Struthio camelus: one gene and its partners. The protein of the gene in region 2 binds, or shares a complex with, the protein of the main gene of each other region. Links are inferred from orthologs where the notes say so. Each region holds a gene or a part of one and is shown on either strand. Other genes may lie near its edges. The genes, in order: MECOM, RBBP4, ZNF512B and BPTF.

Region 1 (7,916 bases), on a different chromosome or scaffold from region 2:
TACTGCTGTTTTGTACTTGTACCTCAACTTCTGAATGTGTTCTATTCTTACTAACTCCAGGGATGCTCTTGCCAGGGACATGATAATTCCAGGTCTGCTGGAAACTTAGTGCAAGTTTTGCTATCTGGCAAGTGTCTATATTGGACTATAAATGCATAATGTCCCGTTAAATTCACTCTCGGCTAATTTTCTTACTTGCTCCTGACAGTTGTCAACATGTGAGTCTTAACTATCCTCTCAAAGGCCTGTGTGACCAAAGAGAGATGCCGCAGAACCCCAGTCGGGAGAGCAGAAACCCACTGTCGGGGCAGCCCTTGCTCCGGGGGAGAGCGGGCGAGCGGGCTGCTACCCAGCCGGTGGGCCCAGGGCCCGGGGGCCCTGCGTTGCCGCGTCGCGGCCGCGCGGGGGCGCCGCAGACCGCGGGGCCCCGCGGTGCCCGGCGCAGCGGCGCGCGGGGGCCGGGGAGAGCCCGAGCCGCGGCGGCGGCAGCCGCGCTCCCGGCAGCGCCTCCCAGCACCCCAGCTCTTTCTGCGCGCAGCGAGCCGCGCTGCAGCCGCAGCCCGGGCCGGCCGCTTGCGTGCGCCCTGATGGCGCGCAGCAATTGTTAGCTGCCAACTTCTCTCCAAGGGGTGGTAGAATAATAGTTACCGGGTGGCACCGGGGAGTCCGGCGTTTGCTCCCCCGGTTTAAAGTCGTTTAAAGACAAGAGGGCGAGCAGTGCACGAAAATAGGGAGGCTTTGTGCATGCGTGGGCGTGAAGCACAGTGCAAAAGAAAAAAATAAGTGGTCAGAATAGGTTTGTTACGGAATCCGATAAGTTATAGGAAGCAAAATTAAATGTGTGGTGCTTACACGACGGCATGTTTTACAAGGGAGAAGGAAACTGTGCAGAAAATGCATGTTGCTTTTATTGTTGGTTTTCATTGCCTGTATTGTGGTGGATGCTTTATGCTACGGAGAGCAAGTTTAATTGAACCAGATCGCTGATTTCGTATAATAGGGGGCATGTTTTTTGTTTTGTTTTGTTTTCGGAGTTAACCGTTTCGGCGACTAGAAACAGGCAGCGCTGGGCTCCGCAGCCTCCGAGTTTCAAGGCAGCAAATAAAAACATATTACATAAAAACAAACACCGACCCTGCTTATCAAAGCCTCAATCTCTCTCTAATATTTTCCCTTGTATTTGAGATTTTTTTAATCACATCTGTCGTTCCCAGCCTTTCCCAGGACTGCAAAGCAAAGTGGACAGCTTCCATGTGACCGCCTAGTACAGGAGGTATTTTTTTACCGGGAAACTTTCGAGTGATTTTCTCCCTTCCTTTCCTTCTGGAGCTCAGAAAAGAAAATGCGCAATCTTCCCGCTGATTAAAGTCTACGTATTTGTCTTCAGGTTTATCGGGTTTATCCAAACTTTCGTGCGAGTGTGTGTGTGTATATCCGTGCTCCCCCTTCTATGCATTTGTAAAGTAGCCCCATCTAGCAATGATAAATATCCCTGTTGATCACTTGATTGATTACCTCTCGGAAAGGTCACGCGGGCTTGCAGTAATTTCCTTTTGCCTAAGGCTCCCTTTTCACTTTTACTCCCGCACGACAGCTCCAAGTACACAGGATCTTTATTTTTTATTTTAACCCCTAAATAGCTCCCCGAAAACAATGCATTGGCGAAAATGAGGAGGAAAATAAACTCCAAGGGTCCCCACTCCCCCAGCCCTCGCCGGGCTACGCTGTGCGCTGGTGTTCAGCAGGCACAAGCAAACTCCTGTCTCTTGGGGCTGGATTTCACGTTTGTGAGCCTCCCTCCCTTTCTCTCCTGTGGACTGAGAATTCGGATTTAAACAACCAGACAAGCTATTAATTTACCCATGCTACCCAGGGTCCTGAACCCAATTAATTTCTAATAATTACAGCCCAAGGGGGCTGGAGAGATCCCTCTGCCTCTTTCTAGCCTTGCCACTTCGCGGCACTGAGGTCAGCATATAATAATAAAGTGTATATTTTGAAAGTGATCAGCAGAACAGTGAGTTATTGCAATGAATGAAAATTGTTTCCATTTTGGCTAATTGAGCCATGGCTGAAAGCTGGAGTTCTGAGACTAAATAAAGAGGACTGTTTCATTTCAACGTAGACTGGAAATCCCTGCATAGCTTTTTGGTCACCCAGCAAGAAGCTTAATTTCTTAACAGCAAACCTGAAATCAAGCGTTGGGTAAACAGTATTAATAATTGCATTACAATGATTAAATTAATCTTACTGGTAGCTAGGAGAATATAGATTGAGATTGAATAACACGATGTAAAGTTCACTGCACAAAGACAATAGCACAACAAATACCTCGATGAAGAATTCCAACTTTTCTCCAAGTAGGCTTGTTCAATTATAATGCAAGGAAGAGAAAATTTCCTGTTATAGAGAATGCATTGAAACCTGTGTGTGAGGGGGTGTTTTTGGTCTCCCAGCATGAATTAGAAATAGGTTTAATTCCTCCCCTCAAAAAAAAAAAAAAAATCTTGTTGACCATGATTCTGCTGAAAACAAGCACACATCCACGCACGCCCGACCGTTCCGGCTTTCACTAAGCAGCGCTTTCCCATCCAGGAGGGAGCTAAGGGCTAGAAACGCGGACAAGCCTCCCCGCAGGAATGAAACGGATTTCCCGGGGGTCTCGCAGGGAGCTTTCGGGGAGGGGGACAAACTTGGCGAGGCTGCGGTGTGCGACGGACGGGGCTACCGGGAGGGCAGGAAATCGGCGGGAGGCAGCCGAGAGGCAGCCCGAGGCGGGGGCCGGGTGCCCCGGAGGGCGGCGAGGCACCTGCTGGGGCTCCCGGGGCCGCTGGGACGGCGGGCAGGTGGCGGTGACAGGCAGGCGCTGCCGGGGTCAGGGCTGCCCGCCCGGGAAAGCCGCATCTGCGCCGTCACGGCACGACGCGGCCCGGCCGCCGTCGCGAGGCACCCACGCGTGCTTTCCGCGCGGGTGTGCTGTTGGCGGGGAAGGGGACTCGTTAGCCCTGGTGGGCTTGCAGAGCAATCGAAAGTACGGGGGGCTGCCGCTTGGCTTGACTTGCGGATCCGCGGCAGAGCTAGGACAGTACACCTCTCCCCGTGCAGAGGCTTCGCCAGGGGCTTAGTTTAAAAGAGAGAGGGGGGAAGCTTTGCAGGGTTCCCGAGCGTTTTCGATTTGCCCGCAGGTCGCTCCGGGAGGACGTTTTGAAGACACCCTTTTAAAGAAGCCAACGGAAATGTCCTCTTCGTGAGAGAGGAGAGCAAGCTTAGAGTCGGAAAATGCCCACGCTCAAAGGGGAGCCCTGGCAGCCTGGGGTCCCCCTGCCGTCTCCGTCCCCCGCCCCGAGCATCCCCAGCGCCCACTCGCGGTGCCCGGCGGCCACCCTGTGCCCTGCGGCCGGTCGGGGGCAACCCCAGCCCGCCTGCAGCCGTCTCAGTGCAGGGCAGGGGGGCCCAGCTGCAGCACCTGCCCCTCACCGCCGGGGCTGGCCGGGCCGGGCGCCCCCGGGGGCTGCAGATCTGCGAGAGGGACGGGGATGAGGTGTTTGGGGCAGTGGGCAGGGCTGAGTCCAGCGTGGGTGTCCGGGGCACAGTCTTGCCCTTCCTCTCCTCCTTCTCCTCCGGCTCGAGGTGCGGGAGGTTTTAGCTAAGCCCCTGCTCGACTGCTGGGGTCACTCAGCAGCTGCGTGATCCTAAAAATGTCCTATTTGCAAATTAAAAATAATTACGGGCATCAGGACGGCTTTGCAGAGCGAGTTCGAGTACTTGCGCCTTTCTGTTGGATGTTTGGGGGGGGGGGGAAAGCGTGTGAGAAATGGTCCCCTTGCCCTACGGCACTGGAGCTGCGTATTTCTCGCGTATGGGGTGCCGGGGCCACTTGGCGTGGCGTGAGGGGAAGGCTGGCGTGGGGACGGGCGGGCGGGCGGGGGCGGCGGGCGGCCCCGATCCGCAGCACGGGCAGCCGGGCGGAGGGGGAAGGGGCGATGCTGAGGATTTTATTAAAACAAAAAGTTGAGCAGCGTGTATGTACTGGCGCAGCACCGAGTCTGAAAGATTGTAATTTTCTTTTATGGTGTCTGGCAGGATTTGCAACAGATATTAATGGGAACATAAATAGCGCATGGAAGGTATTGAACAAAACTGTTTAATGCAAGGAGGTTGTACCAGAGGAAAATCTATATGTAGTTTGGATTGATTCATACCTCGGACACAGCCATCCCCTAAAGGAGTTCCCAATTTCAGCACGCTCTCTCTTTGATTGGCAAGCCCTGTAATTAAAACAGATTAGAGCGGTCGGTGTTACTGTTTTAAAAGCACTTTTTCTGCCCAACTGGTGGTAGCTGAGCCGAGTTCAAGGTGGGGAAAGTGGGTGCGCTGGAGAAGTGTACAATTTAATGATATGCATACATAATCAAACTATATCTCCCCGTCTATATATACGCAGAGATCTATGATAATTGCGGCCGGATGAGAATACACTACTTAAATGTTGCAAAGACGCCAGAGCAGCATTAATATTATATAAAAAGCCAGCAAGAAAGCGTAATTTATTCCACTCTCCTACTCTTGCCACGGCGGGAGCAAAAGAGACTTCTCCCGCTGTAAAGACTCGCGGGCGCGCCGGCACGCGGAGCGCGCTGCCCGCCGCGGCGGCAGCACCCCCGCGCCGCGGCCGCGCTCTCGGTGGCGGCTCCCCGCGGCACGGGGCAGGGGCCGCTGGCGCAGCGCGCCCCGTGCGCCGGCGGGGCGGCGGGCGGCGCCGGGGGAGCAGGCGCGGCGGCCCCGGCGCGGCCCGGCCCCGGTGCCGGCTGTCAGGGTCCCCACCGGCGGTGATGGATCGCTGCAAACTTTTTTTGGCGGCGCTGAAATGTTGAAGAGCGGGGGGGAGCCGCCCGTGCGCATGTGCGAAGGTGTCCAAACTGACAATGCTGGAGAGATAGCGAGCCGGGATTGAGAGAAAGGGAGAGTGTGTGTGCGGGAGAGGGAGAGGAGAGAGGGAGAGGGGGAGCGAAAAAGGAGGAAAAGCTCCAGGAGGAAAAAAAAAAAGGCCCCCCCGCCAGCATCGGCCGCGGGACTGGCAGCATGCGATCCAAAGGCAGGGCAAGGAAGCTGGCCGCAAGTAGGTGCAATACCCCTTTCTCTTGGCTTTTCACCCTCGCTCTCTGCCATGTTGCATGATATGTCTGATGCGCCGCGGAGCTCGCAGGCAACCTGCCGCATCCCCGGCCCGGCCCGGCCCCGGCCTTAGCCCCGGAGCCGTCCCGGCGGGCGGCGGAGCATCCCGGGCGCGGGGGGCCGAGGGCCACGGCCGCCGGGAGCCGGCCTGGGGGCTGCGGGGCGCCCGGCGGGAGGTGGGGAAGGAGTTGAGGAAAAGTTCAGTGGCGAGCGCTGGAAGTTGCTGCTGCTGCCGGGGGCTGGAGGGGGGGGTCGAAGGGGGGGTTGCGAGAGGCTCCGGGCCCTATAGTGGGCGCTGTCGGCTGTCTGCAAGGGCTGGGGGCCGTGTGTGTGTGTGTGTGTGTGTGCGTGTGTGTGTATATGTGTGTGTGTGTGTACATCCATGCACACGGGAGGGTGGGGAGGGGGGAGCCAGCGGCAGGTCTGCTCCAGGCTGCGGGGGAAGGCGGCGAGTCTCGGGAACAAGTTGCCGGTGCAGAGCTCGCGGGGACCCCCCTGGCCCTGCCCGCCTCGAGGGCTGGTCGGCTGCCGGCTTGTGCCAGAAAAATATTAAAAAACAATATATATGTTTATATATGCGTAGCCGGGTAAAATCAAGCCAAAGCGGACACGGGAGCGGCGCACGCGTGGGGAGCCCGCTGTGCTGCAAGGAGGCTGTGCACGGGGGAGCCCTGGTGGTCCCCAGCGCGCAGCCCCGCAGGCGCTGTCAGCGCAGCGCGGAGCGGTGCGGTCGCAGCGCGGAGCCGGGGCGGCCCCCGCGGGAGGGGCCGGCGGCGGGGCCGGGCGCGGGGCAGCGGGGCCAGCGGGAGCCGCCCGCCGCCGCCCCGCTCCGCCGGGATGCGCCGGGTGGACGCGTGGAAGGGGCCGCGCCGGGGGGAGCGGGGCCGCCGGACACCGCGGAGCAGTTCCCAGCCTGCTGGAGTCACCCGTTAAAAGTTGATCTAAATGTTGTAATTTCAGGCGCCTTTCCAGCACTTTTTATACAGTTTGGCCGCCCAAAGGTCTCTATTCTGCTAGGCTAGGTCTCAGCCATCGACACGCAAATGCCGATTTATTTAATTATTTGTCTTACGCTCACTCCATCTGTTTCTCCTTTATGATAGGGATCTTTGCTTTTAACTGCAGCAGTGTTTTTAAAAAAGAGGGAAGCAACAACAAAACTTCGCCAGCTTTCGCGTCCTATTTTAAAAGCAGCTGATGTCTTTATTTTCACTGACACATCTGGGCAAGCTTCGCTTGAAATTCATGCCGATTGCAGCTTACATTCTCGACTGAAAAAATGGGCAGGCAAAAAAAAAGTCAGATGAAATGTTGCATAAGTTGCGTGACGTAAAAAGCAGATGCTTATTTACTCTTTATTTGTTAAGGGAAAAAATAGAGCAGCGTGGAAAAGGGGAAGCAAAATATCTCTGGATCATCATCAGCTTTTCTTTGAAGCTTAACAATAACAGCAACAACCTGCATTTGATTAGGTGATTTAAAAGTGGATAATCCAGCGCAAGGCGATTTGAATACAAATATGTTATTAAATCTCCAGGTTGCCAACCTTACTTTTGGGCTAATTATGTAAAAAGAGTGACACGTCCCCTACCAAACCGTCAGGATTTCTTTTCTTTCCCTTCCTTTTCTTTCATGTATAACGTTGCAAGGCTGCTCTTGCTGCCGCTGCTCTGCAGGGATAGATTTGGCCATTTACACAAAAAAAAAGTTTCTTCTTTGGGCTGCATGTCTTGGCTTTCGCTGCTGCAACAGCAGTTTCCCCCAGACAGATGCGTTGCATTATATAATCCTTCAGTTACAATCCGCTCATAAAGGAAATCATATTTAAAAAGCTGGGATTTTTGTATTTTGAAACACTGTTTCTTTTCCCCTGAAGAGCGTCTCAGTTTCATGGCAAGTGGAAGGAGGGTTGTAGGCGACCCTGGAATTTAGTCGTTCAGCAAGAAAAGTTTTCAGTTTTTCAATTCGTTCTTTCTGGGCTGTGAATAGAAAATGTTTTGTAGCCTTCACGCTATTACATGGAAAATCATATAAATTGGGATCAAATGCAATTCTTTTATTATTTCACTTTTACTTCTTTGTGCGTGAAGTAAAAAACGCCCCGATTGTGTGATTTTTCGCTAGTATTCAGGAAAGCTTTTTGCTTGCAATTAAGGGAGAATACCTGAAGAGCGCAATTTCTTAGCCTCTGTGTAAAATTGAAAAAATAATTTAAAGGATCCCCTCCCCCCCAAAAAAAAATCAGAAAAAACAAAAGAAGCCACGCTGGGAGTAGCCAGTTAATTTTCTAAATGCTCGGCTGCAAAAATAAGGGAGAAGACGAGGTAAAATCTTTCTCTCTCCCACACTTTTGGAAGGCAGGCTGCTGAGGAGCGGTGTGCGGAGCGCGGCCCGGCGGCGCGGCAGAGCGGGGCCGGCGTGCGGGGCCCGGCCGCCCGCAGCCGCGCTGCACCTGTGCGGCGGCCCCGCTCCGAGCTCCGCTGGGGCAGGACCCCTGCACCCGGGGCAGCTGCTCTTCTGCTCTGCTGAGTTTGTGCCCGCCTGATGAAATCGTATCCCTGAATAACCCCCGCCCCAGCACGGGTCCGCCGCAAGCCCGCACGCTGCCGGATCCCTGCAGCCAGCCTAGGGGTAGCCCCGAGCCACCCAGTAGCCTCATAAAGAGACAGAAGGTGATCAGATTAGGGGAACACACGTGAATAAGGAGGCACTTGTTACTTTTACACTTTATCACCACTTTT
Region 2 (7,114 bases):
ACACAGGATAATTCAAGGGACGGTAACCTTCCCCCCGCCCCAAGTATTATACAGGTGAGATATCAGAACATGAGAATAAACGCAAAGAAGTGAATGAACAAAAATGCTGGCCTTTCTATACCTATGCATTTGGGCAGAAGGTTTCACAGAGATATAGATAAAGATATATAGATACAGATATTTCTTCTTGCAGTACACGAGAAGAGTTTCTTCTTGGGAGAAAATGGAAAATAAATGTTTTACCAGATAACAGGAACGTCCTTCCTTACTATGGCTAATTGATATATATAAAAGTAGACTACTTGGAAGCAATTTGGTTCTAAAGCAAGGAGATTAAAAGCCCCATTTTGACAGACATTTCTAAATAAAATAGTAATGTAATAAAATAATAATCTGAAGCACCACAGGATTATTACATTGGAGGAGAAGCTAAACAACACAATGCTTCTGTGCTCTCCCAAGAGCAGAAACGAAACAGGCTACCAAAAAACCCAGTGCGAGTGTGGCATTTCATAGTTCCGAAAGGTATACATCTGAAACCAGTCTTCAATAGCCATTCCTGGTTTATAGCAATATAAGAAATAATTGATTTGTTATATTGTGAAATCCCAGCTGCCCATACTTACTGCACATCTGCTGTGTGATCCAGATCTGAGGGTGGAGGAAAAAGAAAAGGCATGAAGTCACCAAATGCATTTTAAAAATAAGGATTTTTTCAAAATAAAACCAGATATTGTTTTAACAAGAACTTTCTGTATTCATCTTGACACATCAAACAGTGATAATCTTTATTTTCCAGGATACTAGAAAAGGTTAGCACAAGAGAAATCTTGGATTGTTTCTGCCAAGCTTGATAGAAGAAAAACAGTGTTGAATATAAATTACATTAGTGCCCTGTGCGTAGAGCACTGTGTACAAGATATGGCCGTTGAAAGGCAACAGGGATCTGCAGGTTAATTGCGATAGAAAAAAAACTTTAACCAGGTATAAGCGAGTTTTGCTGAAGTCTGCAGGACCGAATACTAATTATGTGGAGGATAAGTTTTGCAAATGTTTACAGCTCAATGAACAAATATGCCTCTCCGCACCCAAAACACCCATTATGCAAAAAGGAGAATTTTAAAAGTATGCAATACAAAACATACAGTTAATCTTCATTAACAAGGTAGGATTAACATCCCAAGCATGTATCAGGTTTTACATGAACAGCATTCATATTCACTTAGATGAATGCCAGAAGTGCAAAATAATACCAGGTTGGTAGAAACAGAGCTAACTTGGGATGAAGAATGAATGCCATGCCAAGATCACTCCAGCTAAAACACTGTTCCGATGCTGCTTAGGTCACCCACACACTATTAACGGTTCTCAACAACTGTCTCTAAAGCAAACAAATTCCAGTGGATTTAAAAGGAGAATAAAACCTCTTCCAATTATGGAAGGAGCATGACTATTGTAGTATGTCACCGTATTTCTGCACTGCTATCAAATAAAGATCTAAACACATCCTAAAAATACATATTCTAACAGGGTAGCATACAGCATCCCTCCAGAGAAACACTGCTCAAACAGAAAGACGGTCAGACACCGAATGGTCTGCGAGAGCCTGAATCTAGCCCTTGGGCTGACACCCACTTACTGGAGAGGTTCTTAGAAGACGTTCCAGGGGTGGGGAAAGGGAGAGAGAATGATCTTTTAGTAGCGCATGTAGGAAAAAAAAGAGCAGCAGCACCAAAGACCGACCCGCTCTTTGAATATCTCTTTTTATATAAGAGAGGTAGAGAAAAACGTACTACTTAGCTAAGAAATGGCTTGAAAGGGGAAAGTTTTCAAGCTAAGACTTATAACTAATTTATTCATATCATGATTTCTTTAGCACCCATGACAGAAATAGCATTTATCTGCAAGAAATACAACTTTAGATATCTCATCCCTATCATTCAACTACAGATGCATCCCATAGCCTGAATACAGGATACCAGCATATTAAGAAACCGCACGAGTGCCTAAAAAGCGGCATCCTGCTCACTTCCTTCCTCCTCCCCGCCCTCCCCCCTAATTACGCTGTCACACGTGCGCTCTGCCTGCGTAGCATTAGAAATACTCACATTCATACTTCTTCTTGAGCGGTGGGTATTTGGCTTTGATGGCCTTCTGCTCCTCTGTCAGGTTATAGTCCCTCTCATCGCCTGCCATAGCTGTTGGGCTTGAATAACAGTCACTCACTTCCTGGTCTCATGAAAAATGGCCACCTCCATGCATGCTTCAGTGTTGCCAGGCTTCCTGTGTGATGCTAGTAATAAAAGGGAAAATTCCCTTTCAGTTCAGGTTCTTCCACTTGATATCAGTTTGGCAACAGTTGTACACACACTTACATTTTTAAAACAAGATTTTAAATGCGTATCTTTAAGTTGTTTGCTATTAAAACTGTCACTGGGAGATGGGGGGAGTTTAGAGCTCAGTCCTCCACCACTTGCCTTACTAACCGATTTAAACATGCTCAGTCAGCGAAGCCAAAGAATTACAATCCTTACATAAAGAACGCACTTAGGCCTTTTCAAAGATCTCAGGCTTCCTTGCAGCAGGAACCATGTTTCAGCTTCTCTGTTGCATACAGCACCACGCATTTGATTCATTGTCAAATAATAAACTATTGTAATAATGAAAAATAATCAAACAGCAGTAAAATGGATTAAACTGTCACGCTTCACGTAACTTCTGCTCTTACTACATGTTACTGTTGAGCCTACTCAGCCCGCTAATGTGACACAGCAATCTGAAATATGCATTGCCTCCCAACCACAGGACGTGACAGGAGGAAAGATCTGTAGCCCTCAAGTATGACTTTTCTCTAGAAAAAAGCTTAATTACCTCTTAGGACAGGGACAGCATTTAAAGCTTCAATGCTGGCATCCACATGCATGGTAAATATGACTCTCATATAAGCACAGAGGTTTTCCTATATTCATTTGCTTGCAAAATTTGTCTTTTTTTTTTTTTTAAATAAAGAACTGTATCAATTCTCTGCTTAAAATTCTCAGACCAGACCCTGAGTTTCATACAAGTTTTTCATTTGTAAATCTATCAGACACAAACTTCATAATCGAATCAACTTCAGGCCCGTTAATTTCATTCAGACTAGACCTCTGCAAGTTTTCATACAAAGTGGTCATTCCTGCTCCTTCTTAATATTTTTGTGCACAGTAAGATTTTTTCACAGCTTCCCCAAATAATGGGAACGATAGATTTATAGAAGACACATAACACCACCAAGTCCCCCAATTTTCAGTGTAAGGGCCAACTTGCGGTTCTTATTGCCAGTCTTGGATATGACAAGATGGTACAGGCCTCCCAACTTCCATTTTCTGAGAAGCAACTAGGCCTATATGGGACAGAAAAGAGCTTGAAATTGGGAGGCTCGTGCTGCTCGGGGGGGGAACAAAACCAGGCGTGCGTACATTTTGATTTTAAACCTGTTCCTTGACTGTTGCCGGTCAGATCCACAACTGATCGTGCCAGGTTATCCGCGGCTAATCAGGCTTGGCTTATACACCGGTCTGGTTGTCTAATGGCCCGTCTCTGCAGGGATTTATGGGAAAAAAAAAAAAGGAAGTTATTAGTAATTATCGGCAATAAATAACCCAAGAGGGGGCAGGAGGATGCTCTGGAGGTTGCTGGGCCACCCGTTGGGGAGGAAGGGTTGTGCTGGGCCGGAACCCCCCACACAACGGTGCTCCCGGCACCGGTCCCGGGCCGGAGCCTCGCTCAGGAGCCGTCGGGGCCCGGTCGGCGGCGGGGGGGGGGGGTGAAGCGCTGGGGGGCGGCGGCGGCTCCGGTCTGCGTGCTGGCCCTTTAAGGGCTGAGCGAGGGGCGCGCTACACCCGCCCGCTTCCCCTCCGGAAAATGGCGGCTCCCACGGGAGCTTCAACAGCACCTTCCACTCCTCCCCCGCTTTCTCCCCGGCCCCCCTCCCACGTGACCGCCGAGCGCGCTCGCCTGCCCCTTGTCCCCGCCCCGTGCCGCGCGCGGATTGGCGGCCGCGGCCCGGCGGCCGGCGGCGATTGGCCGGCGTTGGCGCGCGAAGGGGTGCGCGGCGCCGGAGCGGCACGCAGCGGGGGCAGGAAACAATAGAGCCGCGGCCGGAGGGGTCGGAGCAGCGAGCCCGGCAGCCGGCCGCCCGCCTCGCCCAGCGCCGCCCGCCCGCCCCCGCCGCCGCGCGCGCGCACCGGAGCCGCCCCGCGCCCCCTCCCCGCCCCGCCATGGCGGACAAGGAAGGTAGGGCCCGGGGCGCGGCCTTCTCCCCTCAGGGCTCCGTGAGGCGCGGGGCAGCCCCCCCCCATCTCCCCCCCCCCAACAACGGCCGCCGGCCTGAGGGGAGCGCGCGAGGCGCGGCGGGGCCGCCAGGGGGCGCGCGGGGGCCACCGGGGCGTCCGCCCCCCCCCCCCCCCCCGCGCCGCGCCGTGAGGCGGGGGGGGGGGCCGCGCGGCCTCCGAGGCGGTGTCCCGGCCGCCGAGGTCTCTCCCCCCCCCCCTCCTCCAGCCGCTTGTCCCCGCGCCAGGCTGGGTGGCGTTTGAAGGAGGAGGGGACTCATTTACTTATTTTTATTTTATTTATGTATTTATTTATTTATTTCCCGAGGAGGGTGACAGCGTGCTGGGAGTCGAGCGGCCTGGTCGAAACGGAGCGGGCCCTCGGGAAGGTCTTTTTCGGCTTGTGCCCTGGGCGGGCCGCCGTGCCGTGCGCCTAGGGCAAACAAAGGGCCTGTCACGGCCCCCCCCAGCCGCGGTGCCTGGGTCCCCGCGGTTCGGGTGCCGCCTCTGCTCTTCAGCAGCGCAAACCGTAACCGAGCCAGACCAAAGGTCTGCTTAGACTTGCTTCGCTAGCAGAGGCTAGCAGCAGATGGTCGGGGAAACTGCGTGAGAGATACTAACGCAGAACGAGCCTTGGTAGGTTGCTAGACTTTGCGAATTGAGTAGGTCAAGGCTGCACCTGGACTGCTGTGTTTAACAATGGTTGCTGGACCTCCCCCCTTTACTCATCTTCTATGCACAAATCTTTGTTTCTGCAATATCCTGTGGCACGATATTCCATAATTTTGCTATGCTTCTTGTGTTAAGATGATGCAGTTTGACATAATCAAGGTTAGTTCAAAGCCGTATGTGTGGAAACAAAGATTATCGTGTGTAACGGAGGATTTTGAATGATTTAGTAACTACTCTAATAGAGTAGTGTACCAGCAAACCAGTGTGATGTTGTAGTTAGCTTGTTGTTTGATGTCCGCTCACAGGTTTGTGTGTATGTTTTGAACGTGTTCATAAAGGCTAACTTTATGCATTTAAAAAAAAACCCAAACTTTAGCAGCCTTTGATGATGCAGTGGAAGAACGTGTGATCAATGAAGAATATAAAATATGGAAAAAGAATACTCCCTTCTTATATGATCTGGTAATGACCCATGCTCTGGAATGGCCCAGCTTGACTGCTCAATGGCTTCCTGATGTAACGAGGTAAACTGGTCCTTTCATTTTTTTAAAGAGGAAGAGATAGGAGTAAATTTAGGATTGCTTGTTGTTCAAGTAAGACCGTATAGGATTGCTTTTGGTTTGAATCAGCTTTTTGCTCCCTTGCCTTACCAAGAGCAAGGTGAGGACTGAACACTGGAGAGAGAAGCAGTATAGGCATTTTTAATTTGGAAAAATGTCTTTATCATTGAGAAGGCACTTTCATTCATTTGATTTTTGGAGCTTTTCTTTTTCCAGCTTCACCCTACCCTTTAGAAGCAGAAAAACCCTCTCCACAAAAACAAGGGTGAACATAATTTCAGCACCAAAAGGCTGTGGACAACTTATCTTGTGCAGTATAACCATGGCGTTGTCCTAAGCTTCCAGACCAATGTTCTGCTTGCAGTTAATGTTCACATGCCTCAGAGTTTTACTATGGGAGCGTTGCAAATGCCTCTTAAAAGAAGGCAAGGGAATGGTGGGGATCTGTTTCTGATATTTAGAGATAGGGACTGTGCTATGAGACTTACAAGTTGAGATCTGTCTGGAGTTAGAGTAAGTGATCTTCCTCAGAAGGAAGAGGATTTGGAGCAGGGAGAGCAAGGGTAACTCTAAAAGGTGTTACTAGTGTTAGAAGCTGTAATCAACAAAAAAAAAATGTGTCGTAATAAGCTCAGTGTCTATGTAAACCCTTTCTTTTGTTTCTCATGTAATTCTCTTCTCTTCCAGACCTGAGGGCAAAGATTTCAGTATTCACCGATTAGTCCTGGGGACCCATACTTCAGATGAACAAAATCATCTTGTGATAGCTAGTGTGCAGTTGCCTAACGATGATGCACAGTTTGATGCTTCACACTATGATAGTGAGAAAGGAGGTAAGGGACAAGAGGTGCGAACCAAGTGGAGTTTTAACCATCTTTTCCTCCCTGTTTTAATAGGATATTGGTCTTTCCTTAGCTTTCAGGCAGTAAAGCACAGGTACTACATCTAAACGAAACAAACCAATTGATTTCTAAGCTGTACCCTTAATTAACAGATAAATGTAATGTATCATGTGCGTACATAATGTCTTATTAATATCATTTTGAAGAAAGGAGGTGGTACGCTTACTGTAAAAATACATGAGGAAAAGACCTCCCCCTTCCTTATCCTCATCATGCGTTGGCATTGAGTTTCATGCAGCGCTGATTATTATTCTTTTATTATTGCTTTTGTGTTACATAAAGTATTCTTCTGCATACGTGACTTTCTCACTGAGTTTATTTTAGATGAGTGTAACATTTCAAATGTTCTTCTCCAGTTTGAATTCTGCTGCCTGATATTTGTGCCAGTCCCTCTTGGATAAAAAGATGATTGTATTTTGTTCAGTATATCAGGCTTGGATTCTCTGCTTTCCGTAATCTTCGTTGGCTGTCAGCATTGCTACTAGTTAGGCATTTCTCATTTTTACTTGATTGAATCAATCCTTTTACATAATGAAAGTCCTTAATGATCCAGCCATTAGCTGTTCTTTTGACCAGAAGCCTGGATTGTGTGAGTGACGTTTTGATCCTTCAGATTCTTAGAGTTATTTGTGAACACAGTGTTGTCTAATAAATATCTTGTTTGGCTATT
Region 3 (6,962 bases), on a different chromosome or scaffold from region 2:
TCCGACATGCCTCATTTCGCACGCCGGAGGAGGGCTCGCCTGGCCCCGAGCCCGCTGATCGCCCTCCGCTCCGCTGCTCGTCACACCTAGCAATTACACAACGCTTTACATGCTCTCCGCAGACATTAATTAAGCTTTTTCCCCCCCCGGAAGGGAGACAAAGAGGGAAACTGGGGCGGTGGGGGGGGGAACTCCCAACTTGGGGTTTTTTTTTTCGCTTCGGTTATGCAGCATGTTCAGCCCCCGGTTGCAAGGGCCTGGGAGCAGGGAGGACCGAGCCTTTCCTCCCGCGTCGGAGGTGCCTCGACGGCACGCGGCGCCCAGGCCGGCGAGGCCGCTCCGGGTTCGGGGCAGGCGCCGCGGCGTGCACCGCCGGCTGCCGTCGGCCGGGCAGAGCCCCAGCCCTGCCGGGCGCGGGAACCGGGGAAAAACCCGGGGGGAGTTTTACCTGCTTGCGGCACAAGGTGCTAACGGAGGAGCCCAGCGCGTCGCTGGCGGGCGCCCGGGCCGGGAAAGCCTGCAAAGAGGCCGGGGCTGCGCCGGGTGGGGAAGCCCGGCTCGCAAGCGCGCCTGCGCGCAGGCCGCTTCTCCCCGCGCGCGCCTCTTGCTTGTGCAGGACGCAGTCGTGTCCCGGCGGTGTCCGCTGCACGTCGTCACCTCCGCCGGAGGGAAAAAAGGGATTCGCTCACCCCACGCCTGCTACTATGCCTGATCCTCTCCCCCGGTGGGAGCATCCGTCCGATTGCAACGGTCCCTCCGGGGGTGCGAGTCCAGGCAGGCGCCGTGCGGGGGGCCGCCGGCCAGCGCCCTCGGTGGCATCTCTCACGCAGAGGGACAGGGACCGGCAGGTCCGGCCCGGCACCGTCCCATGGGCGCGCAGCCCCGCTCCCGCCGGGAGACGGGGGCCGGGAAAGGGCCGCGTCCTCCCGAGCGGCTCCCGGCTCCCTCCTACATAACCGCTGGGAGATGCGGCGCGACCCGCACGCGCGCGGTATTCCCTTCGGAGGCGGCCTGCGCCGGGGCGGCACCTCGGCCGCGCTTGCCGCTCGACAGGCAGAAACGACGTCCGGCAGCACGGCAGCTCGGGAGCAATGCGCGCCCGCACGGCCGGCGCTCGCAGCCCTGCCCGCGCCTCGCCCCCGGCGGGCGAGAGCCAGGCCGGCGTCCCGGGGGCGACGCGCGGAAGCCGCCCGCCCGGGGGCTCGTGGCTCTCCGGGGCCTGGCCCCTCCGACGCTGCCCCCCGGCCACGCGGGACGGGACGGGATGGATTGGGACGGGATAGGATGGGACGAGATGGGATGAGATGGGACGAGATAGGATGGGAAGGAGCAGGACAGGATGAGCTAGGGTAGGATGGGATGGTCCAGAATAGGCTGGGACAGGATGGGCTGGGATAGGATGGGATAGGATGGGATGGGACGGGATAGGATGGGATGGGATGAGATGTGATGGGACAGGACGAGATGGGATGGGATGGGACGGGACGAGATGAGATGTGAGGGGATGGGATGTGACAGGATGGGATGGGACAGGACAGGACGGGATGGGACGGGATGGGATGGGACAGGATGAGATGAGATGGGATGAGATGGGAGGGGATGGGATCAGAGGGGATGGCATGGCATGGGATGGGACGGGATGGGATCAGAGGGGATGGGATGGGATGGGACAGGACGGGATGGGAGGGGATGGGATCAGAGGGGATGCCGTAGCATGGGACAGGACGGGATGGAATCAGAGGGGATGGGATGGGATGGGATGAGATGGGAGGGGATGGGATCAGAGGGGATGGCGTGGCATGGGACAGGACGGGATGGGATCAGAGGGGATGGGATGGGATGGGACAGGACGGGATGGGATCAGAGGGGATGGCGTAGCATGGGACAGGACGGGATGGGATCAGAGGGGATGGGATCAGAGGGGATGGTGTGGCATGGGACAGGACGGGACGGGATCAGAGGGGATGGCGTAGCATGGGACAGGACGGGACGGGATGAGATCAGAGGGGATGGCGTGGCATGGGACAGGACGGGATGGGATCAGAGGGGATGGGATCAGAGGGGATGGTGTGGCATGGGACAGGACGGGACGGGATCAGAGGGGATGGCATAGCATGGGACAGGACGGGACGGGATGGGATGGGATCAGAGGGGATGGTGTGGCATGGGACAGGACGGGATGGGATGGGATGGGATCAGAGGGGATGGTGTGGCATGGGACAGGACGGGATGGGATGGGATCAGAGGGGATGGCGTAGCATGGGACAGGACGGGACGGGACGGGATGGGATCAGAGGGGATGGTGTGGCATGGGACACGACGGGACGGGATGGGATGGGATCAGAGGGGATGGCGTGGCATGGGACAGGACGGGACGGGACGGGATGGGATCAGAGGGGATGGCGTGGCATGGGACAGGACGGGACGGGACGGGATGGGATCAGAGGGGATGGGATGGGATGGGACACGATGGGACGGGATGGGATGGGATCAGAGGGGATGGCGTAGCATGGGACAGGACGGGACGGGACGGGATGGGATCAGAGGGGATGGCGTGGCATGGGACACGACGGGACGGGATGGGATGGGATCAGAGGGGATGGCGTGGCATGGGACAGGACGGGACGGGACGGGATGGGATCAGAGGGGATGGCGTGGCATGGGACACGACGGGATGGGATGGGATGGGATCAGAGGGGATGGGATGGGATGGGACAGGACGGGACGGGATGGGATGGGATCAGAGGGGATGGCGTAGCATGGGACAGGACGGGATGGGATGGGATCAGAGGGGATGGCGTAGCATGGGACAGGACGGGATGGGATGGGATCAGAGGGGATGGTGTGGCATGGGACAGGACGGGATGGGATGGGATCAGAGGGGATGGCGTGGCATGGGACAGGACGGGATGGGATGGGATCAGAGGGGATGGCGTGGCATGGGACACGACGGGATGGGATGGGATGGGATCAGAGGGGATGGCGTAGCATGGGACAGGACGGGATGGGATGGGATCAGAGGGGATGGTGTGGCATGGGACAGGACGGGATGGGATGGGATCAGAGGGGATGGCGTGGCATGGGACACGACGGGATGGGATGGGATGGGATCAGAGGGGATGGGATGGGATGGGACAGGACGGGATGGGATCAGAGGGGATGGCGTGGCATGGGACACGACGGGATGGGATGGGATGGGATCAGAGGGGATGGCGTGGCATGGGACAGGACGGGATGGGATCAGAGGGGATGGGATGGGATGGGACAGGACGGGATGGGATCAGAGGGGATGGCATAGCATGGGACACGACGGGATGGGATGGGATGGGATCAGAGGGGATGGCGTGGCATGGGACAGGACGGGATGGGATCAGAGGGGATGGCGTGGCACGGGACAGGACGGGATGCAACACGACAGGATGGGCTGGTCTGGGCCGGGGTAGGACACGACGGGACAGGACAGGGACAGGACGGGACGGGCACGTGCGCGCGCCCCCCGCGCGGGGGAGCGGGGCGGCGGGGGGCGGCGGCGGCGGGGGGGGGGGGGGGGCGCTGCCGGCCGCCGCGGGGTCCTCTCGCACCTGCCGCCCGCCCGGCCCGGCGGCAGCGCCCCCCCACCCCCCTCCACCCTCCGCGCAGCGCGGGGCGGCGGCGGCGGCACCGCCCGGGTCCCGCCCTCGCGGGGCGGTTCCCCCCGCCCGCCCCGCGGCCCGGCCCGGCGGCGGAGCCACGCGAGAGCCGGGGCGGCTGGGCCGGTGCGGGCCGGCGGCGGGGGCTGGGGCGGGCCGGGCCGGGCCGGGCAGGGCAGCGCGCATGAGCCGCGGCGGCGGCGGCGGGAGGGAGCGAGCGAGGGAGCGAGCGAGCGAGCGAGGGCGGCAGCGGAGCGCGGCGCCGCCGCGGCGGGTGTCGCCGCGCCTGGGAGCCCCGCACGGCGGCCCGCAGCCGGGGGCGGCGGGCGGCACCGCCTCGCCTCGCCTCGCCTCGCCTCGCCCCGCGCCGCCGCCGCCGCCGCCGCCCAGGTAAGGCCGGAGCGCGGCCGCCGCCGCCCGGGCTCCCCCGCCCGCCTCCCTCCGCGCCGCCCGCGCCCGCCGCGGCCGACGTCGCCATTTTGCCTCGCCGCCTTCCCTCCGTTAACTCCCGCCGCCTCTCGCCTCCTTCGTTTTTACCTCCCCCCCCCCTTTTTTTTTGTTGTTGTTGTTGTTGTCCCCGCCGGCGCGTGTCGCCTCGCGCCCGGCTCGGCCCCCCCCCCCCCCCGTCCGGTGACAGGCGGCGGCGGGTGGCACCGGGGGGCCCCGCTGGGGGTTGGAGGTTGGGGGGGGGGGCACCACCCCGCCAGGCCCCGGGAGGTGACGGCCGGGCGCGGGGGGTGGCGGCGGGGCAGCTGCCTGGCCAAGGAAGGTGACAGGCGATGGGGTGGCCCGGTGGGGAGGTGGCCGGAGAGGGGACAGGCCCAGGTGGGATGGTCGCCGAGGGGTGGGGTGGTCCGGCCCAGGCAGGTGACAGGACCTGGGGACGGACGGGGAGGTGACAGATGGACGGGACGGCCAGGCCAGGGAGGTGACAGGCAGCGGGACAGCCAGGCCAGCGAGGTGATGAGCAGATGGGGTGGCCAAGCCAGGGAGGTGACAGGAGGACAGGAGAGCCACACCGGGGAGGTGACAGGCGGATGGCATGGTCAGGCCAGGGAGGTGACAGGAGGACGGGATGGCCAGGGAGGTGACAGGACAACCAGGCCAGGGAGGTGACAGGTGGACAGGACAACCAGGCTAGGGAGGTGACAGGCAGAAAGGATGGCCAAGCCAGGGAGGTGACAGGCAGATGGCACAGCCAAGCCGGGGAGGTGACAGGCGGATGGCATGGTCAGGCCAGGGAGGTCACAGGAGGACAGGATGGCCAGGGAAGTGACAGGCGGACGGGATGGCCAAGCCGGGGAGGTGACAGGCGGATGGCATGGTCAGGCCAGGGAGGTCACAGGAGGACAGGATGGCCAGGGAAGTGACAGGCGGACGGGATGGCCAAGCCAGGGAGGTGACAGGCGGATGGCATGGTCAGGCCAGGGAGGTCACAGGAGGACAGGATGGCCAGGGAAGTGACAGGCGGACGGGATGGCCAAGCCAGGGAGGTGACAGGCGGATGGCATGGTCAGGCCAGGGAGGTCACAGGAGGACAGAATGGCCAGGGAGGTGACGGGACAACCAGGCCAAGGAGGTGACAGGCAGACAGGATGGTCAAGCCGGGGAGGTGACAGGCAGATGGGGGGGCCCCCGACAGGCCTAGGGAAAGGACGGCAGGACCGAGCGCTGCATCCCGTCGCGCTCGGGACGCCCCAGGGCGAGGGGGCACCAGGGACGCCCTGGTCACTGCAGCGGGCACCCGCTGCCACTGCCTTGCGGCAGGGGTGAGACCCGCGGTGGACGGGGCAGGCTGGGTCGGGGACGTCCCCGTCGAGGGGCGCCGGCTCCTGAGGAGCAGTGGGGATCAGATGAAGTTACTGCTGCTCATTGTCTGCTGGGGTTTTTTTTCCTGCGCGCGCGTGTGTGTGCTTTTCCCGTTTGCTTTTGTGCCTTAGGATGGGCGAGGGGGAGGGACTTGCTAATGTGTTTCAAACAGAAACTTTAAACCATCAAAAGCTTCACCCACGCCCAGAAATAGTCACTTGGCTGAAAGACAGCAGCTTTATGCTGTTTTTACTTGATGTGAATTATTTCCTTGAAGAGTGCCTTTGCTGGGGGATGTTCAACGTGGGAACTAGCAGCCCCTGATTTTTGCTCGGATTTTGTTCCTTGCCTTTACTCTTAGGAAGTGTCTCCTAGTGCATAACCTTAGACTCCTCGCGCTGCAGCTGCGGTTTCGCTCTCAGGCTAGCAGAAAGGGTAATCGGCGCTGAGACAAAGCAGATCCTCAGGTACCGGGCGAGCGGCTGAAATCGGGAGCTCCGCTGGGTTTCCTTCAGCCTCAGTGTCCTCGCGGCCTCCCTCGCCGCCGGCCTCGGCATGCCGTTAGCTCCTGCGCCGAGCAGGGAGCGACGTGCCAGCCGCTTCCCGTTTTGGCATTACCCACTCCTGAGCATCTCCACGGGCCGTTTGGAGCCCAAATTATTAGCGATAAGTGGAGCGTATCGACTGGTGATGGGGCCGCTCTGCACGAGCTGTACCCTTAGCAACGGGACCCGTGCAGCAGTTTCAGCAGGAGAACTTGATGTCCAAAGCCTGCAGGCAGCTTTTCCCCCTCTGTAGCCATATGAGCCTCCTGGGGACAGCGGGATCCCGGTAGCCGCTGGCGGATGGCAGCCAGCCTGCCAGCTCAGCTAAAACAGGCAGCGTTCAGGTGCAGCTCTGTGCGCGCTCCTCTTGACTTGATCCAAGGTAATGGATGTGCATTTATGCATGGAGTTATTTCCCCCTTTTCAGTCTGTGTCAGACTGACCCAACTCTCCAGGCCGTCGCTGTGGTTTCCCCGGCTGTTGCTCGAAGTGCCGATCGGCGCGCTCGCGGCTGCACCCAGCCGGCAGAGCCCAACACCGCTGTAGGAGTGGTTTGTAATAGAAAATAGCCTGTCTGGGAAAGCGCAGTGACTGTGACATTAGCTGTCCCTTGCAGCTGCGCCGGTGCGGGCCGCTGCTCATCCTTGGCTGCCTCTTGTGTTGGTCTGCTGCTTTTTTCCAGAGCGGGAATGGGATGCTTTAAAAATGCTGCCTCTCACTTCTGCCCCAGGTGCCTCAAGCTGAGCCAGAAGGTTAATCCGTGAGCCCACGTGGCGGTTTGTGTGCTCCCGGCACATCCCGGCTGGCCCGTCCCCGCCTGCCGCCCTGCTCCGATGGCACGAGCGTAAGGCGTCCTCGCACCATGCATAGTAAGGACCTGCCAGTATCTTTTTCTCCCCCCTGCCCTGTAAGTTGCAAAAGGGTTTTAACCAAAACTTAACGAAAGCACGTTAAAGGCGCAGGATGTAATCTGTTGTCT
Region 4 (7,467 bases), on a different chromosome or scaffold from region 2:
CTTAAGCATGGGTATAGGGTTGGTACCTAACTTGCACTGCTTTCTCTCTCTTAGACATTATAGTACCACAATTAGTTTACTGTACCATTTTTGTGCCCCCTCCCCTTTTTTTTTCTAGTCCAACCTCCATTTTGTGCCCCCTCCCCTTTTTTTTTTTTTTCTAATCCAACCTTGTTACATTGTTCTGAAGCAGAGATGTTGGGGGTGCAGGAGGTTTGTGCGGCAGCTAGCAGTTACGAGCCCTATACCGTGATAATCTAAAGCTGTTTTGGTGAATCTCATTCTGATAAGACCACCTGCATCCAGAAGTTGTCTACAGCTATAGAGAAGGAAGAGATACAGGGCAGGAACTAGATTCCTTCCTCAAATGAAGAAGCAAAGTACAGTTATTTAATATGATAGCTTGTTACAATCCTTATTATTATCTCAGAGGTTGCCTCCTGCTGAAGAAGGAAAAGACTGTTTTCTTAAGCAGACAGACCTCCCTTCAGGAGCATGCTCTCCTGCACAGACTTGCAGAATGCAGTTACTGGATTACAGTATAACTAGCTGTATTTTAAGACTTTTGCTTTAGAAACTTTGGAAGCTTTCTGACGCTGAAAGATTGCATCCAAGATAGTTTTGTCTTTTTAAATATGCATTGTTTGAAATGTTACCAGTGTTCAATTTGAAGCTCATGGGGAAGAGGAGAGAGAGGTATTAAAATAACCTTAAGGTAAAATTTAATGCAGTGGACTTTAATGCAGTGGACTTTGGATTCAGTTTGACATGTCTTTAAGCTGACCATACTATTCATAAAAGCAGTTACCATTCTTGCTTCCTGAGCAGTGCTGGCAGAAATATCTTGCCCATTAGGTTAGAACGGAGAGTGGCCTAGCTGAAAATAACTTTTTATCTATGATTTTTTTTTTTTCTATGGGAGTGCTGACTTGTGCTGACATAATAGGACACTGAGGAGACATCCAGTTTCATTGGGAGCAAAATGCTGGAAAGCATTGTTTGAATAAATGCACTCTTAACCTTTGTAAGGTTTAGGTTGCCTGAGAATGAACAATAGCATTTTCTTGGCATTTTCATCCCCTCTCTAGCAAGAGCTAGAACATAACACTGTTATGGTTGAAGCACTAGGTGCATAACTTACTGGACTTCAGCCGTATGATTTTGAAACAGATGCACACAGTTAAAGGCCTTAAGAGTGGAAATTAACACTTTCCTGTTGTATACACCACTCTTATCAAAGGTCAGGACTGAAATATATATATATTTAAAAACAAAAAAAACCTAAACTGAACAGCTGAAGAATCATTTGGAGTGGTACTTCTTGGCACTGGCAGCAGTAGGTTAAACTTTCTGAGCAAGATGACTTACCTCCTAACTAAAATAAGAATATTCTTACCTACAAGGGTGTCCATTTTTTAAAAAATACGTTTTCAAAGGGTGAATGCCTTAATTTCTATAAAGTTAGGCTGACCTGCTTCATACTGCTTGTTTTATACAGCTTGAGGTTTATGCATGTGGAGAACGTAAACATTCCAAATTATATGTTTGTTTTAGATTAGTCAAAAGTGAAATCCAAATCTCAAAATTTTATGAATGCAACATTTGTTGACACTATTACAGGTGTAAGTATCTACTGAATAAAGGGGCTATCGGGGGATAGGAGCTCCCAGTGAAGACAGTTTGTCAGTCTACATCCAAAATAGCAGATCAGATGTTAACAACTTAAACTTATTTTTGTAAATAATGTGATTGAATGTTAATATAATTCAGCATATCAGTGTATTGATACAGTTTATGTATTTTGTAATATTAAATAAAATTACAATCAGTATGTAGATTACATCAGCAAAAATCACATAAGCCCTTGCTTTCTAAGGCTGAGTTTTAGTCTATAGCTGAGCTCTATTCTAACAATACTTAGCAACCTCTCAGTGTCTTACCAATATACATGTTACGGACTCTAGAGCAGGGTACTTAAGTTCAGTGCCTAGTATGTGTTAGTTGTGACACATTTGGAGGGAAGGACTGGACAAAAGCAGCTCAGTAATGTAAGCAAGAGCATATGCTTGCTGGATTATTTATGCCATCCAACTGTAGGTTCGTAAGTTCTTTCCTTTACTAGTGGAGAAAGGAACCTATCCAGACAACAGCTTGGAACAACTAGGCTATTCATCTTTTCCAAAGTGCCTTTTGAAAGGAGTCTTTCTCTCCATCCATCTTGAGTATGGAGGGAGCCTAGGACCACCTACCTAAAATTTTTCCTCCTGCTGTATTCACTTAGAAATGTGCTCATTTAACTATACTAGCAAATTTAATATGTGAACTTCAAGTTCCTAATGGAGATGCGTTTTGTCTTTGGGAAAGGACGAGGATAGGTGAGTAGGTTGGGGGGTTGTATGATTTGTGTGTGTTGTTTTGTTGTGGGTTTTTTTTCCCCTCCTCCTCCGTGCTAAGCTATGCTCTAGAAAGGAGTAATTTTTCAGTCCTGAGTGAAAATTAACATATCTGTCAATGCATCCCCATTCCCCATCTATAAAATTATAATTCTGATGTTCTATTCAGTAAAGCACTTCCAGATTAATGACTAACAAGTCTTAAAAGGTGGGATTAGGAAACAATGTATTTTGGCCTTACGCTATTTAAAAGCAAACAAAGGATTCTTAGCACCTTTGATCTGCTACAGGTACACAAAACCTACCGTATGTCACAGATCTTAACGTTCTCCTAAGGCTACAGGCTGTGTGAATGTTTTCTGTAGTAGCTACACTAGATTTTTTTTGCTAGATTCTCAATACATAGATGGCACAATTCACACTTTTTTCCCCCCAAGATCATAGAGGGAGATAAACACACAGATGCATGCTTTAGGACTAGTTGTGTAAGTATGTATTTTAATAGTTACCACAATACTGTGGAACTTTGAGAGGTTAAAAAAATCAACTTGATGGAAGCAAACTAAAGGTAACTTTGAAAGATTCAGAATACAAATTGAGTATAATGGTGTAAGTTAAATTAAGCAATGTTGTCTACCGCTGTTACTGTGTCTGGATGGTACTGTGTCTAGAACATGGCTCTGAGCCTATGCAGCTGCACTATTGAATATAAAAGAGTGTGACCAAATGGAAAAGAGATGCAGATAAAAAGCTGGATGTAAGAGTGCAAATCAGGTTAAACCCTGCTGCCTGGTGCCATTGTGGCATTGTTGCGTGCTTGACACTGCATGCAGCAGGTTTGTGGGTTTAATGAGGTTCTTGGGCTGAGCAACAACTTTATGAACACAAGGCACTTCAGAAACATCTATGGAAGAATTCAAATTAAATTAAATATCGAACGTACAACTGGCATGCTCAGGGCGTGACCAGTGCTAGGTTGTGCATCGCGAAGGCATTTATTTGCTTAAACAGAAGACTAGATTCTCTGGGCTCCTTTGCCAATGCAGAGGGAGAAGGGCTGGTTGTGGGAAATGCAAGTGGTTTTCATGCCTTGGGCTGGGTTTCATCTTGTACCTCTTTTGCTTGGGAAAGCAATACCCTGAATTCAACGGCAGTATTAGAAACCCAGTTCTGCAATTGGTTTCTGTAGGGTGGCTTTTTTTCTTCTTCTTTTTTGGTTGCCCTTTGGGGGCTCTGGACTGGAAACACATGAGGGAATACAAAGCAGGTGCAGCCTATCTCGGTCTTGCAGTGCTGCAGCAGTGCTGGGGCAAGTGGCCGGACACCAACGCGAGGGGCCGTGTGTCCTGCGTGGTTTTCCTCAGCGTTTCGGCTTTTTGCCGCCCGTGGCCAGGCGAGGGTGAGTTGTAAAGAGGGTGTTGTTCGCTTCTGCCTAACGGGGGAGGTGGGGGGGGGGAGATCTGGCGGCTCTGCAGGATTAACAAAAAGGCAGAGCCGCAGCCAGGGGCCTCGGCCGGTGCCGGAGCGGCGGGACGAGCCCTGTTGCCTACCTGCCTTCGCAGCTGTCCCGCGAGGGAGTTGCGGCCAGCTGAGCTCGGGGCAGGGGGGAGGCCCCCCCCCAACCCGGCGGGTCGAGCTCGGCGGCGGGGCTCCTGTGACGGGCGTCGTTATTTAAGCGGGAAGATGGTCAGTTTTGGGGCGGGGGGAGGTGGTGAACCGCCGCCGGCGGGGCGCCCCCGTGCGCTGAGGGGAGCCCCGCGGCGGGGCCGAAGGCAGAGCCTGGGGACAGGTGGAAGGCGGGGGGGTTTAGGGAGCTTTATCCCGGGGGTGGGGGAAGGAGGCGGCGGGGCGATGAGGGGGGCTCGGCGCGGGCTGCGCAGCGGCGGGAGCCCCGAGCGCGCGCGCGCGCGCGGCCGGGGTGGGTGGCGGGGGAGCGCGGAGCCGCCTCAGCGCGCTGGCTCCAACATGGCTCTCGCGGCGGCGCGGCGGCGGCGCCCCCTGGCGGCGGCGGCTGGGCGCGGCCGGTCACGTGAGGCGCTCGGGGCCTGCTGCCGCCGCCGCTTCCCCCAGTCAGAGCGGAGCGAGCCGAGGCAGAGACGAAGAAACAAGATGGCGGCCGGTGGCGATCCGGAGCGGGACGCCGGCAATTCGGATTGAACCCTCGGCCCTCACAGCTCGGCGGCCCCCCTCCCCGGTCCGGATCCCTCGCAAGGGGGGGAGCTTCCCCGTAGCCGCCTGTCCGGACTCCGAGCGCCCTCCCGAGCCTTCCTTCCCCCTCCCTTCCCCCCTCGGCCAGCGCCCAGAGATGCGGGGCCGGCGAGGCAGGCCGCCCAAGCAGCAGCAGCCGGCGGCGGGCAGCACTCAGGCGAGCTCCCCGGCTCCGCCCGCCCCGGCGGGCCCCATTGGGGGGCTGCGGTCCCGGCAGCGGGGCAGCAGCCGCGGCAGGTGGGCGACCTCGGCCCAGGCGGAGACGGCGGGGCCCAAGCAGAAGGGGGCCGGGGCTGCCCAGGCCTCTTCCTCGGCCGCCACCTCCCCCAGGGGGGGCAGCAAGAGGAAGGGAGGCAGCGGCGGCAGCAGCACCCCTGGTGGGGGAGGCAGCAGCGGTAAGGGCAGGGGCAGGGCCGGGGCTGGAGGAGCAGGGGGAGGAGGCGGAGGAGGCAGCTGCAACAGCCAAGGCAGGGCTGCCTCGTCCAGGAGGAGCATCAGCAAAGTGGTGTACGACGATCATGAGAGCGAAGAGGAGGAGGAGAGCATGGTGTCCGAGGAGGAAGAGGAGGGAGACCCCGAGGATAACCAGGACTCCGAGGAGGAAGAGGAGGAGGAGATCATGGAGGAGGAGGACGACGACGACTCTGACTACCCTGAAGAGATGGAGGATGAAGACGATGCCAGTTATTGCACTGAGAGCAGCTTCAGGAGCCACAGCACCTACAGCAGCACCCCAGGTAGAGAGTCAGTGGGATGAGCGAAAAACGAGGCGAGGGCACCCCACATGCTCCCTCTAGGTTTGCAAATACGTACACGCATGGGAGGAAGAATGCATGCAGATCGTAAGGGATGCCTGCAAGCACTCACAGGGAGAGAGGGGTATGCAAATTAACGCCTGGCAACCCCATGGATGCAGGGAACCTTAGAAGGTGCTTGCAAACACACATGCAGTCAGGGGAGGGAGGAGGAGGGGTAATACATGCTGCAACGAGGGGATGCTTGGCGAATATGCATAGAGGTTCTGGTCGCCGCAGAAATGCGTGCTACACCAGAACGTGTTGCAAACAACGTCAAAAGTGTATAGAGCGTTCACTTAGGATTTAAAAACAAGGGAAAGGAGGTGCATGCGTTGCTAAGAAGTGGTTGCAAATATATACAGGAGAGGGTGGCTTGTGCCTGGGAATGTAACTTAATGTTATAAGGAAAAGAAGCACATGCAACTTGAAGTAGTCTAAAAAACCCATAAACACTGAAAATTTGCAGGCTCTTGAAATCAGAGGTACAACTGGAAGCAGCATTTATTGGCTTTAAGACAAAACTAGCTTTTCAAGGAGGGAAATGAGGTGCATTGTTCAAAATGGAGATTGCATTGTTATAGTTTGGGGAAAAGTGCACAGGGCCTCATTGCAAGGGTGTAAACCTAGTTTTAGTTAATAAGGCTTTCTTAAACACAAAGATTAAAGGGTGGAGGTTGAGTCAAAAGTCTTGGTTCTAAACACCGCATTTATTTTAAGATGTGGCAAGCTTTAAAACTCATATTGGGGTTTAAAGGTCTTTAACATCGTGATTAAATTTTTTTTTTAATTTTTTATTTTTTAACCTAATGGCAAATTTGGGCTAAATTTTTTTTTCAGGGCCTGCATTCTTTTTTGTCTTTAATTAGTTCATTAGGTATGTGGGTTTGAAGCCTCAACAATTCTTTATCTGAACTTAAGCACTTTAGGTTTATTTGAATTAATTCCAGAATGAATGGAGTTCAGGCATAGAATTTTTTAATTGTTTTCTTTTTATTTTCTTTTCTCTCTCTCTCTCTCTCTCTTTTTTTTTTTTTTTGGTCTCTGAGCCAGGACATTGGTTAAACTTGGGGATAACCTGGGAATGTGTTGCTGAATTGGGCTCCAGGATAACAAACACTGTTGCTGTACAAGTATTTGACCAGCTTGGAAGGGGGGAGGAACAGGTTGTGCAAATGCATTGCATCTTTTTTTTTTTTTTAAGGTGTGTAGTTTTGAGTAGCTAGCAGATCACTTTTAAAAAGGGGGAAGTACTGGCTACTAAATGTGTCATTTGTTGTTGTTTTAGTGAGTTTACTGGTATCAGTCCATTATTTGATACTCTAGTAGTCCTTTGAAAAACTGGGTGTGTGTAACTATACATATACATATGCAAATATTTAAATTTATATCCATATCCTTAGGAACCTAAGGGAATTGAAAGTAAGTATGTATGTCACTAAATGAATTAATTTTATTTGTTTGTTTCTGGAATAAGTGTTAGTGCTAGTTTACCTGTTGCAGGGATGTACTACAATGAAATTGAATTCCTTTGGATATTTATTACTTTACAGATGGAGGTCTAGCTTCACAGGAAAAATTCTGACCTTCTCTCTTAACTCTTAATTTTCTGTTTAGTTGTGGTAACTTTCATTCTGACTACCTCTTTTTGGTGCTTTTGTCAGGGAAAAAATATTTTTATCGCTTTAAGAGGCTAGGTCAGGAAAATATTTTGACGTGAAAATCCAGGCTGAAAAAGAGTTCTACAAAATACAGGTGTATTTGATTTTTGAAATGTGCTGGCAAATAATAATAAAGTATCTCTGTGTGCATTGTTGTGCAAGCGTAGACAAGTCTTAATTGGTATTTGAGTAGCAGAAATCATTTTGATAATTTATATGCTTATTTTCCACTTGATCAAGGTAACTTCAGTTTTAGCTTTTTAAAGTAAGTTTAAATGTAAGCATTTTAATCATAATATTCCATAGAGTGTATGGTATTCTGGCACTGAGTAACTGATTAATAGTTAAAGCACCTATGTTGTTTTGGCAATATACTGGAACTTCTGATTAGTTCAGTCTTGGCTCGAAGCC

The links.
Region 1: the proteins of RBBP4 (region 2) and MECOM are in contact, whole or in part, in a crystal structure (PDB 6BW3), measured with the Homo sapiens proteins. The link is inferred for Struthio camelus from reciprocal best matches to the Homo sapiens genes RBBP4 and MECOM. Residues at the interface, in NP_005601.1 of Homo sapiens: Ala39, Leu40, Glu41, Trp42, Pro43, Leu45, His71, Thr72, Ser73, Asp74, Glu75, Glu126, Asn128, Arg129, Glu179, Tyr181, Asp198, Val229, Glu231, Asp248, Glu275, Asn277, Phe321, Glu395, Asn397; in NP_001353395.1 of Homo sapiens: Met1, Arg2, Lys4, Gly5, Arg6, Ala7, Arg8, Lys9, Leu10.
Region 3: the proteins of RBBP4 (region 2) and ZNF512B are in contact, whole or in part, in a crystal structure (PDB 8TX8), measured with the Homo sapiens proteins. The link is inferred for Struthio camelus from reciprocal best matches to the Homo sapiens genes RBBP4 and ZNF512B. Residues at the interface, in NP_005601.1 of Homo sapiens: Ala39, Leu40, Glu41, Trp42, Pro43, Leu45, His71, Thr72, Ser73, Glu126, Asn128, Arg129, Pro145, Glu179, Tyr181, Glu231, Asp248, Glu275, Asn277, Asp318, Glu319, Phe321, Thr338, Lys376, Glu395, Asn397; in NP_065764.1 of Homo sapiens: Lys419, His420, Arg421, Arg422, Lys423, Gln424, Pro427, Lys428, Lys429, Phe430.
Region 4: RBBP4 (region 2) and BPTF share a complex: the UniProt entries of both Homo sapiens proteins name them as parts of the BPFT-SMARCA1 complex. The link is inferred for Struthio camelus from reciprocal best matches to the Homo sapiens genes RBBP4 and BPTF.

Annotation. Positions count from the first base shown.
Region 1 is NC_090950.1:28,162,127-28,170,042, forward strand, and holds the start of MECOM (histone-lysine N-methyltransferase MECOM), read left to right. Parts: upstream 1-4,900; 5' UTR 4,901-5,082; coding exon 5,083-5,119; exon of another isoform or gene 5,120-5,123; intron 5,124-7,916.
Region 2 is NC_090964.1:8,465,242-8,472,355, reverse strand, and holds the start of RBBP4 (histone-binding protein RBBP4), read left to right. Parts: upstream 1-4,101; 5' UTR 4,102-4,259; coding exon 4,260-4,275; intron 4,276-4,452; exon of another isoform or gene 4,453-4,946; intron 4,947-5,358; coding exon 5,359-5,506; intron 5,507-6,229; coding exon 6,230-6,375; intron 6,376-7,114. Other genes in the region: ZBTB8OS (protein archease), read right to left, coding at 627-651, 2,109-2,196. UniProt on the Homo sapiens protein: Core histone-binding subunit that may target chromatin assembly factors, chromatin remodeling factors and histone deacetylases to their histone substrates in a manner that is regulated by nucleosomal DNA.
Region 3 is NC_090959.1:17,626,132-17,633,093, forward strand, and holds the start of ZNF512B (zinc finger protein 512B), read left to right. Parts: upstream 1-3,959; 5' UTR 3,960-4,019; intron 4,020-4,503; exon of another isoform or gene 4,504-6,713; 5' UTR 6,714-6,845; coding exon of another isoform or gene 6,846-6,852; intron 6,853-6,962. UniProt on the Homo sapiens protein: Involved in transcriptional regulation by repressing gene expression. Associates with the nucleosome remodeling and histone deacetylase (NuRD) complex, which promotes transcriptional repression by histone deacetylation and nucleosome remodeling.
Region 4 is NC_090960.1:4,481,997-4,489,463, forward strand, and holds the start of BPTF (nucleosome-remodeling factor subunit BPTF), read left to right. Parts: upstream 1-4,464; 5' UTR 4,465-4,698; coding exon 4,699-5,338; intron 5,339-7,467. UniProt on the Homo sapiens protein: Regulatory subunit of the ATP-dependent NURF-1 and NURF-5 ISWI chromatin remodeling complexes, which form ordered nucleosome arrays on chromatin and facilitate access to DNA during DNA-templated processes such as DNA replication, transcription, and repair.